Linked DNA regions of Drosophila melanogaster. The protein of the gene in region 1 purifies or fractionates together with the protein of each later gene. This does not show direct contact. Each region holds a gene or a part of one and is shown on either strand. Other genes may lie near its edges.

Evidence for each region. Proteins that work in one complex are often made in the same cells at the same time.
Region 2: the proteins of nSMase (region 1) and CG7071 purify together in Drosophila melanogaster (affinity purification with mass spectrometry, with the first as the bait; one large-scale study listed by BioGRID). This does not show direct contact.

Annotation. Positions count from the first base shown.
Region 1 is NT_037436.4:3,216,317-3,222,202, reverse strand, and holds nSMase (neutral sphingomyelinase), read right to left. Parts: upstream 3,048-5,886; 5' UTR 2,900-3,047; coding exon 2,859-2,899; intron 2,773-2,858; coding exon 1,485-2,772; 3' UTR 1,278-1,484; downstream 1-1,277. Other genes in the region: RpL28 (ribosomal protein L28), read left to right, coding at 229-321, 494-736, 920-1,018; hob (hobbit), read left to right, coding at 3,399-3,451, 3,532-3,658, 3,715-4,257, 4,310-4,585, 4,640-4,783, 4,840-5,886.
Region 2 is NT_033777.3:22,361,061-22,365,900, reverse strand, and holds CG7071 (uncharacterized protein), read right to left. Parts: upstream 3,282-4,840; 5' UTR 2,986-3,281; coding exon of another isoform or gene 2,955-2,985; exon of another isoform or gene 2,895-2,954; coding exon of another isoform or gene 2,614-2,894; intron 2,548-2,613; coding exon of another isoform or gene 2,377-2,547; 5' UTR 2,372-2,376; coding exon 1,774-2,371; intron 1,705-1,773; coding exon 1,394-1,704; 3' UTR 1,321-1,393; downstream 1-1,320. Other genes in the region: CG5382 (uncharacterized protein), read left to right, coding at 88-189, 253-364, 432-625, 681-882, 944-1,233; muted, read right to left, coding at 2,377-2,547, 2,614-2,894, 2,955-2,985; JMJD6 (jumonji domain containing 6), read left to right, coding at 3,606-4,832.

The sequences.
Region 1 (5,886 bases):
ATTTCATGTTCCCCTTTCTTGCTTGCGTTTCTGGCGATTTGATCAAAAAGGTAAGCATTAAAATCTATATTGAGTACTTCAGTTGTGGCTTAATGAGGATTGATTTAGCAGAAGAGTTCTTGAAGACTATATTCATCACCCAAAACTGAAATACCTTTGAAAAACTTTAAATATGGCTTTTTCCTGAGCAATTACTAATATGTTCTTAACTTCTATTCCAGACGTGAGATGGCAACCTCTTCGCACCTCAATTGGTTGATCATTCGCAACAACAACGCCTTCTTGTTGAAGAAGCGCGATGTGAAGAAGCCCTTCAGCACAGTAAGTAAATATGGATTTAAATAACGTGCACCACATTTAAATGATGTTTCCAACTTATAACTTTCACAATGATATTTGAATACAACATGATAGTAACTTTAATCTGATAAAAGTTGGCTTCATCACTACTATGATATGACAAGCACATTACTGACTTCTAAATCCCTTCCAGGAGCCAAACAACTTGGCCAGCGTGAGCTCGTACCGCTACAGCGGCATCGTGCACAAGAAGACCCTGGGAGTCGTGCCAGCTGCCGACAAGAAGGGCTTCACCGCCGTGCTGAAGAAGGGCAAGTATGCCCAGCGCCCCGCCAAGAACACCGTGCGTGTTGACTTCAAGGCCGGTCCCCGCCGTTCCCTGAAGAAGCTGAAGAACCTGCTTATCGGCTCCAAGTACCGCAAGGACCTGACACAGGTGATTATGGCTCCAAGCCTAGAAACAACTGTTTGGGTTCTTGTCATGATGATCTTTTTTTTAATGCTACACAACCAAGATCGCAGAATGATCGTGTTGATAAACTTATCTGAAGCTCTCAAAGCTGAAGCTTATCGTACTTCAGTGTTAGGCCTATTCTAATGATTTTACTTGTGCTTATAGGCTGCCCTCCGCCGCGCTTCCGCTGTCCTGCGCTCCCAGAAGCCCGCCCCCGTCAAGGGAAAGAAGGCCGAGTTTGCTAAGGGAAAGAAGCCCGAATAAACTGTACCAGATTGGGGCTATGCGGAGCTGTTTTCTACTCGAGAATAAAGAAAAAATATTAAAAACACCGTAATATTAATACAGTTCTGTGGTTATTTGTCGATAATGGGTAGCGACCAAGTACTGCATACTTTGGGGCGGTAGTTATGAAATTTTCTATAACCATGAATGAGCTTACCATATATATTGTTGCTTATTAAACGACAAACTATATTATTGTTGATACAAAAGGTATCTTTAGATCAATCAATCTTTGTTTGCCTAAATGATTCTCACTTTTATTGAACTATTATTCCTGGGATATGGATGACGTTACACAGAAAGAGACCATGGAATTGCATTGACGGTTACACGAATAAAAAGATCAAGTAAGAGCGCTATAACTCTAGTCAAACATATATCGCTGCTTATAGTACGCTACACGTGGATTTTAAATGCGCATTGAGCTTGGCTGCTATACACAGCCTCAGTAGAAGTACTCGTACTTCTGGGCGTGGTGCAGCATCACCTCCATCGACTTCTTGCCCTGCAGGACCCCATTTCGTTCCATATAGTTCCAGATGGAGGCCATGAAGACGCAGAACAGGATCACGCCAAACACGATGAACTTGAGCAGCAGAAAGATAGTGCGCATGCCCACGGGGGCGGTGAACTCCACCAGAAGGACCAAGAGGACAAACAGGAAGGTGGCGGCGCTGTAGTACAGTATTCGATCAGTGTTTAACTGCAGCAGGGAAGCATCGCACAGCGCCAGAGCTTCAAGAAGGGCAGCAGTTCTAGCGGCGGGCATGGATTGAATGGAAGTGGAGCTTCCATTGCATTGGATCTCCGGCTGGTGTTGTGATGACTGATCGTCCTCTCCTGTCAAAGCATCCCCTGCTCCTACTTCCCTCACGGAACAGGTTTCACCATCCTCTACCAGGCAGTTCACCTCGATCGTTGCCACTGGCTCCTCACTTCTAGGTTCCAGCTTGAATAACTTCAGCTTGGCCATCACCGCCTCGTGGTCGGAGAAGCTAAATTTCTCGCCGGGTACTCGCTCCGGAAAAGGCAGTTTGTATTCGGCTATCTCAGCATTTACATGATCGCCACCACGCACAAAGATGTGATCGATACGGATACCCAGAGGATTTCTCTCCCGTGCTTGCTTAGATGTGTATGAGTTGTGTTCGCATTCGTTGGTCCGAAAAGAGTCCGAGTCGCAGCTGTCGAGCATCTTGGAGGTATAGAGCAGCACCTTGTAAGAGATGTCCTGTGGCTGGGCATTCAGGTCGCCAGCCAGAATCTGCAGCGCAGAGTTCCCCCTGGTGGCTTCAATGAATTGAGCAGTATCGAAGGCCTGAATAACGCGATGTGTCTTGTACTCGTCGTTGGCATTGTCGTACTCCGCGTGCAGGTGGGCATTATATAGGTGCACCATCTGCCCGCCGACGAGTATGCGGCACAGGCCCACACCTTTGCCGCCGAACCAATCGGCATGCTGAATACGGTGGAAGTAGCCATTTACGGACCACGCATGAAACAGAGTGCCCAGGATGGGGTACTTGGACAGTACCAGCAGACCGGCGCCCATCACGCCGCTGTGAAAGTAGTGGCTATGGGGCAGGACCGCCTCCGTGCCCTTTTGGAGTAGCTCGCTGTCCTCTTGCGCCCACACCTCCTGCAGGGACACGATGTCATACTTCCCGCTAGCCAGCTCCTTGCAGATGGCATCGATGCGGGGTCTGCGATCACTCGACACATACGGAATGCCCCTGAAAGTGCACATGATTAGCCTGTGCAGATCGGTGTCAAGGGAAGTGGGGCTCCAGCAGCCTTAGAAGGAGATGCCTGCTCTCACCATATATTCAGGGTCAGAATGTTCAGCTCCAGCAGCAACATAGCGACTTCTTTGGCCAATTTTCACGTTCGCATGCTTACAATGGAATAACGGGCGCGGGAGCAGCGATAAGATAACTTTTTGATTTTGTTATTTTTAAAAGATATAAAGCCACAGTGTGACCGTCTGGGGAAAGCCGAAATTTAATAAAGCCTGAACCCCTGACGAGCTTTGTTGATGCGACAAGTCAAAGTCGCACATGAACAGGGATGCATTTCTTTGCATTATTAATTTCTAATTGAGAATGCATTTTCTTTTTATACACTGTAACTAAAATTTTGGTAATTGCGGTAATTGTTTAAGTTATGCATTTTGCGAACAAGCTTGTCTTGCAAGGGCTAAGTATTTGAAAAACTGATAGCTTATTGTGGTATTTTTGAATAGTATGCATTGGTCACTCTATTGCCGCAACTAGTAAATTGTTCAGTATTTAGTCAAAAAATTTCAAAACATAAATAGCACAACATAAATGTTGGGACACTATGGTATTTAGGCAACAACATGATGCTACAGCTACTTCTATTCTGCCTGGCGCTCTTCATCTTCGTTTATTGGTTAGTTTTGCCTGTTCCGTGGCCCCATGATTGATCCATCATCGTTATAAACATAAAAAATTGATCACTTTCCATTTTAGGGTCTTGCCCACGGGCATTAGTTGGTATTTGGTGAAGAGGTTTCGGGTCAAAGTACGGATCGGTCGCATTTCGCTGCCCTACTTGTCCCTGAAGAATGTGCACATCAGCAAGAGTGGATTCTCGGTGGTATGGATAACCTTCGAACTCTGGTTACCAAGCGATAAACACTCCTAATTTTACAGCAAATCGAGGAGGTGTGTCTGCGCAGCAGTTTCTTCACCACCGAGGTGACCAAGCTGCTCTCCATTTATATCCGTGACATTCGCATCAACAAAGACATTCACAGTCGACAGGATGACTCCTACGACCAGGACTCTTACGAACTCCGGCGGACTCAGACGTTGGCGGGCAAAGCCTCGGAGGCGAAGGGTGTGCCAGACTTCCGGCAAACTAAGGTGCCGGCGAGTATTATCACCTTTGCCCAATTTATGGCAGTGCACGTGAACAACATATCAGTGGTTCTGATGAACAATGACTTTGATCCGGGGTGGTTCATCCATGCCACGGCGAAGGAGCTTCATTTGGACGGGAGTATAGTGCAAAATGCTCGTGTTCTGTTGGTCAATGCAGCCCTTAGCGAAGCACAGGCCAAGATGCTGAGGCACTGCAGCTCTCGCCGTCAATCGCTGGAGAATCTGAACAAGATTCGTCCTTGCCTAGGCGAGGTCAGCTTTGACATGACCCTGGATGCGTCGCTCTTTGCCCAAGGCCCTCTGTCCATGGATGTAAGTGACTTTTTGACTCCTTAGTATTCCTTTTATTAATTCCCGTTTGCAGACCCTAAGTCTGGTCATCAACAATGCCAAATCCGTCATCCACGGCGGACTGTACGAGTTCCTTAGTGAGGCCAAGCGGAGGACATCGACCGGTCAGCCATCTCGGCGCTCCACTCAAGGCCTAGCTCCCTCGAAAAGGTCCTACGACAATGACAACTACGAGAAGCTGGCGCCCATTATACCAAAGAACTTTAACTTTAGCATTAAGGCGGCAACGTTTTCGGCCGTCAAAGAAAACTCACAGAACGATTTTAGTGCCAAACTGCAGTCGTTTCAAGTAGGTTAATACCACTACTATGAGCTAATCTATAATAATACATAATCTGCACAGATCTCGGGAAAGTTTAACTCGAAAGTCACCGATGAAAAGACGTTGTTACCGTCAATGCTTGCCAAATTGGGTTTTCATCATCTAGACATTGACACCAAATATGAAAAGCTCCTCTTTGTAGAACAATTTACCATAGACTCTGTGGTAAGTAAACACATTATGGCCCAATTAGTGCAATATTATAATACTATACCTTTCAGCTGGAAAAAGACATATTCAACTTGTATGTAAAACTGAAGACATTCCAAATCATATATAATCACAGCGAGATCTATGACTTTGTCAACAACAATTTTCTGGCCCGCCAGCGATCGAGCGAAGCGCAGCCAATGCAGTTGATACATAAGCAGAAGTCCCTGCCGGATCACTTGGATCTGGACACGGCTGTGCAGAGTAATCTGCGAGCGAATCAGCGACGGGAGGGCGGAGTTCTAGAGTGGATTATGCAGCGAATTGTTGTTAAAGGCTGTGCGGAACTGTTTAATGTCTCTCTTCTTATGAAACTGGAAGATGAGCATATTGCCATGAGTGTGAGTCACACAAGATTCCTCTTGGAGCAGATCGAGGAAAAGCGAAGTAATCTCTATGAGAACAAGTTCCTCAATTTGTTGTTGAATCAACGACAATGGAGCATGGAACTCATGGTGGAAACTCTTTGGTCAAATCTAGGTAACTCCATCAACGACACCAACAACTTGAAAAAGACTCATTCGCCAGGCTCGCCGTTTTTCCTCGGAGTGAGCTTGGTCAAGCTCTGCTCGTATGCAAACACCACTAAACTGGACATATCAGTGCACACATTTCGCACGGAATACAGCATGCAGCTTGCGGAATTCGTGGTCAAGTCAATGGAGTGCCTTCGGCAGTACCGGGGCATAAAACCAAAGAATATGTCGGGACAATCTCACGCCAGACCAAATGCAGGCCTTACATTGTCCGTGCAGCCATCACAATCATCTACCTCACTGCGGGTGTCTGTTAAGGTCAAGGATATTACGGCTTACTTTGTCAATCATCACAATGTTTATTCGCTGCTCAGTTTCTCAGAGCTGAATTTATCACGGTCTCAAAGCCTGACCACCCTAAAGCTCGAAGAGTTTCAGATGGCTATAATGCGCTCAATGACGGCTTCTTCGCTTTGCCTCACCGACTTCTCTGACGTTTTTGCTACATGCAAAATGATACGACTGGAGCATGAACAAGTGGAGGGTACGATGGGCAAGTTGTCCATTTACATACCCGGCAAC
Region 2 (4,840 bases), on another chromosome or scaffold:
TTTTATTGAGGCGTTATTATGCGATAGCTGTCCCAAGGCCGCCAAGTGCAATTCCTCCGCCGCCTTAGGAACCCCGAATTTAAGGAAATGGGTTTGTGCAAGTGCCCCAAGCGCCTGGTGACCAACCAGTTTTGCTTTGAGCATCGAGTCAATGTTTGCGAACACTGTATGGTTCAGTCTCATCCAAAGGTAAGGATTCCTGTCCTCTAGTTTTATGGATGCTTGGAATACACCATATCCACTCTTTTTCAGTGCATTGTGCAGTCGTATCTGCAGTGGCTGCGGGACAGCGACTACATCTCCAACTGCACTCTGTGCGGCACCACATTGGAGCAGGGCGATTGCGTGCGCCTCGTCTGCTACCGTAGGGATCTGCCAGTTTTGAGCTAATCCAGACACCACACACTTACCCATAATCCTGCCATTTCCAGATGTTTTCCACTGGGACTGCCTGAACGCCCGCCAAGCCGCACTGCCTGCCAACACAGCCCCTCGGGGTCACCAGTGCCCCGCCTGCAGTGTGGAGATCTTTCCCAACGCCAACCTGGTCTCCCCGGTGGCCGATGCTCTGAAGAGTTTCCTGTCGCAGGTTAACTGGGGCAGAAATGGCCTGGGACTCGCCCTGGTAAGCATTCCGGGCAGTAAGCTTGTAATCAATTTAAATGTTGAATCTTTCCCAGCTCTCTGAGGAGCAGAGCAGCAGTCTGAAGGCCATTAAGCCCAAGGTGGCAAGCCAGGCGGCTGTCAGCAACATGACCAAAGTGCACCACATCCATTCCGGTGGCGAGCGAGAGCGCACGAAGCCCAATGGCCATGACGCCGTGAGCCCACATTCCGTGCTCCTAATGGATGCATTTAATCCCCCAAGTGCGGGCGACTACGGTGCGCATAATCTAGCATACACTTTGAGTCATATTATAATTATAATCTTACGCACCTGCAGCCAGCAGCAGAAGACCGCTGCTGCCCCGTCAGTCGCCAATTGGTGGGACAGATCGAGACGATAATAAGTACCAGCGCCGCACTCCTGCGGAATTGTTCTCGCGATGGACACGCCGCTTCTATGCGCCCTCCTCGCGGCCGCCGTGGCGTCGCACTTGGTTCCTGGTGACCGCCGGCATTTTGGCCTTTGTCTTGTTCGTCTATCTTATGGCCTGGCTGGGTCGCGGAGGATCTGATGCCGTGGACGAGGGCTGGAATAACCCCAATCCACAGCCGAACCACTACGAATAGGGTGTGCATTCACGGTCGAAATAAGCATACGTAGCATATAATCGATATCCAAGTCCCCGATTCCGAAAGAATAAAACTTTTACAGCTATTTATATAACCTAACATTGCAAAGCGAAATAATACAACGACAAAGAACGATTTTTACTCGCAGATCATCTATCTAGTCAACATGGGGTTTCAATGTCTGGACTTGACTTCCCTCGGCGGGCGGGGTGCGCTTAGCCGGCGTCGATGGCTGCGGCTTACGTTTGGGCGCGTCCAAGACCTCATCGTACTCGTGCAGCTTCTTGGCCAGGAAGTACATCTCAGCCAGGGCTATGATGAGCGCTACAATCACGCCCAGCAAGATGCGAAAGCCGAAAGGCAGCGGGCCCACCATCAAATTGACGCCGAAAAAGCCGAACGTAAAGCCAGCGGCCACGGAGAAGATGAACTGCACCACGGCAATGATTTGCTTGTTAAGGCTCTTAACTGAAAGGGAAGGGAAGAAGAAAAAGGTTTTAAAAGGGCGGATCTAACAAGCTGGGCGTATTCACTTACTCTGATAGCTGATAGTGTCCTCTGGATAGTGTTTTAAGCCGGCATCCACATTCTTGGTCATTTTGAGGTAATCCCGATTTTGTTGCTCTGCGCGAAGACGTTGGCAGCGCGCTTCTAGCTCAGGATTGCGCGGCTTCATTTCGTTTTCGGGCAGGAGCAGATCACAGGACTCAATTAGCTGATGCAGAAAGACTTGGCAGTGATCCTGACGACGCAGTTCAGCCAGTGTTTTTGAGAGCCAGTGCAGGTCGGTTAAGTATAGGAAATGTTTAACCTCCCTTGTTGACTTTGCGTCATCACTATCCTTGACCCCTGAATCTGGTTCCGATTTATCCTTAGCAGGTTCTTCTGGTTTGTCGGCTAGGTTTTCAGTTAGTTTTGTCAACAGCTCGTAATTGAGTTTTGGTCGTTTGTACTCCAAGCCCGCATCCTTGATAATCCTAATAGAGGTGGGCAGTGTGTGGCCTCTTTGCTTCATAATCTTGGCCACATTTTCGGGCAACTCCTTTAAGTGCTTCTTTTGGGCGTCCAGAAAGTCAAGCAGCTTCTTTGACGGCACAAGGCGCACCCGCGGATCAACAATCGTTGACTTCAGCATAGTTTCTACTTGGCAATGTTAAGCTTTAGTTGCAAATCTGAGTAAAGCTCTGCGATTTCCTCCTCCTTCTCCTCGAATGAGTTCTCGATTCGGCGATAGCCGTGCTCCAAATTGGTTAGGAACTCCGCCCGGCGTTGCTCACGTGCCAGTCGCGCCTCCTGCAACTGGGTGCTAGCCTGCAATTCGAACGGAAGACCAATTAATCAATGATAAACAGGCGGAGATTACGCTGGCCCACTAACAGTTCGTTCCACCTTCGCTTTCGCCAAGAGTGCGTTGACCCCGTCCAGCAGATGGCTGACTTCCGTGTCCAGTTGGGCGAGGTTCTCGGCTCCGCTACCCCTTCCGGTTGCACTGCACCGGGACAGATCGTACTTCAGAGATCCCACTGTTTCGGTGACCTGGAAAAGTTTCTCCACTTCGCTGTCGTTGCGCCGCACCTCGAAGTTCTCAAGAAAGGCCTCGATCTCGCCGTTTACGAACACGCGATGGTCTAGAATGCGAAGCGGCACCTTGTAGAGCTCTGGAAGAGTTGGTAGCACCTGGTTATTAACGATTTTACACTGCTTTTCAAAAACTCCACCTCGTCCGACTTGGCTTATCATTATTTTCATTCGCCCACAGCTGTCACATGAGAAATCGTAGCGAACCAGGGCTTCCACTATCGTATATCGTATGATATACTTAAGATGTTATCTTAAGTTATTTATCCATTAATTTTTGCATTGCTTTTGAGGCCTGTGCTTTAGCACAGATAGTATGAAAGATCCTGCTCACAATAGTTTTATTTTTAATTTTATTTATTTTGTACTTTGAATTTGGCTAACAAACGCTGGTCACCTTAAAGTCTTGCAGCCCTGGCTCTCAATGAAAATACAACTTACACTCGCGAGGGTTAAATTTAAGTGAGCGTTGGTGGGGGAACGGTTGAGTTTGGAACATGGGGAACATGGGGTAGTAGCGCACTACTACCATTTAGGTTCTTTTATGTATGGGCTGGTTCATACTGGACCTGTGTACAATTCTTTAATAATGAAATGTTTTGAAAATGTCCGTTTACTCGGTAAACATCTGATAAAACCAGTAAAGGAGTGCTTGTCTGGCGACCAGCTGAGTGACCAGGTGCGGTCCCGCGTCGCGTTTTCAGCATGTTCGAACCTGCGGCGTCTGGCCACACTGCACTCACGCTGCTTTAATTTCCAGGAGCTGTGGAAAATTGGCCAATTTCAGCAGGATGAGCGAGGAATTCAAGCTGCCCAAGCGTTCCCGCAAGCGCACACGTGAGGTGAAGCGCAAGGCTCGTCCGGAGCTGGACGGCGAGAATGCCTGGTCGGCCATGCGGTACTGTGAGAAGTTCGAGCCATTTTGGGATTTCACCGATAACCTGGAGCGGATCGAGGAGTCGCAGGTGCCGGAGTCGGAGTTCATCGAACGCTTCGAGCGACCCTACAAGCCGGTGGTCATTCGCGGCTGCACCGATGGCTGGTTGGCGCTGGAAAAGTGGACACTAGCCCGCCTGGCCAAGAAGTATCGCAACCAGAAGTTCAAGTGCGGCGAGGACAACGAGGGCTATAGCGTCAAGATGAAGATGAAGTACTACGTGGAGTACATGCAGAGCACGCGCGATGACAGCCCGCTGTACATCTTCGACAGCAGCTTCGGCGAACACCATCGTCGGCGCAAGCTCCTGGATGACTATGTGGTGCCCAAGTATTTTCGCGACGACCTCTTCCAGTACTGCGGCGAGAATCGTCGTCCGCCTTACCGCTGGTTTGTCATGGGACCGGCTCGCTCCGGCACCGGCATCCACATTGATCCACTGGGCACTAGTGCCTGGAACACGCTGATCCGCGGCCACAAGCGCTGGTGCCTGTTCCCCACCCAAACGCCCAAGGAGCTGCTCAAGGTCACCAGTGCCATGGGTGGCAAGCAGCGAGACGAGGCCATCACCTGGTTCAGCACCATATATCCGCGCACCCAGCTGCCTAGTTGGCCGGAGCAATACCGCCCCATCGAAGTGCTGCAGGGAGCAGGCGAGACTGTATTCGTGCCCGGCGGCTGGTGGCACGTGGTGCTCAACATGGACGACACCATTGCCATCACCCAGAACTTCAGTTCGCAGACGAACTTCCCCTGCGTCTGGCACAAGACTGTTCGCGGCCGGCCAAAGTTGTCACGCAAGTGGCTGCGCGTGCTGCGAGACCAGCGACCGGAGCTGGCCCAGATCGCCGATAGTATTAACCTGAACGAGAGCACCGGCTTCGCATCGGACAGCTCCAGCAATTCAAGCTCCTCCTCGTCGAGCAGCTCCTCGTCTTCGGAGGAGGAGGAGAGCGACGATGGCGGCGATTCCAACACGGACAGCGGCCAGGAGAGTCTGACGGCCAAGAAGAAAAAGAAGCGGCGCATGGCTGGCGGCGGCTCCGGGTCCGGCTCCATGGGCGGATCATCGCGTTCCTGATCCAGGGA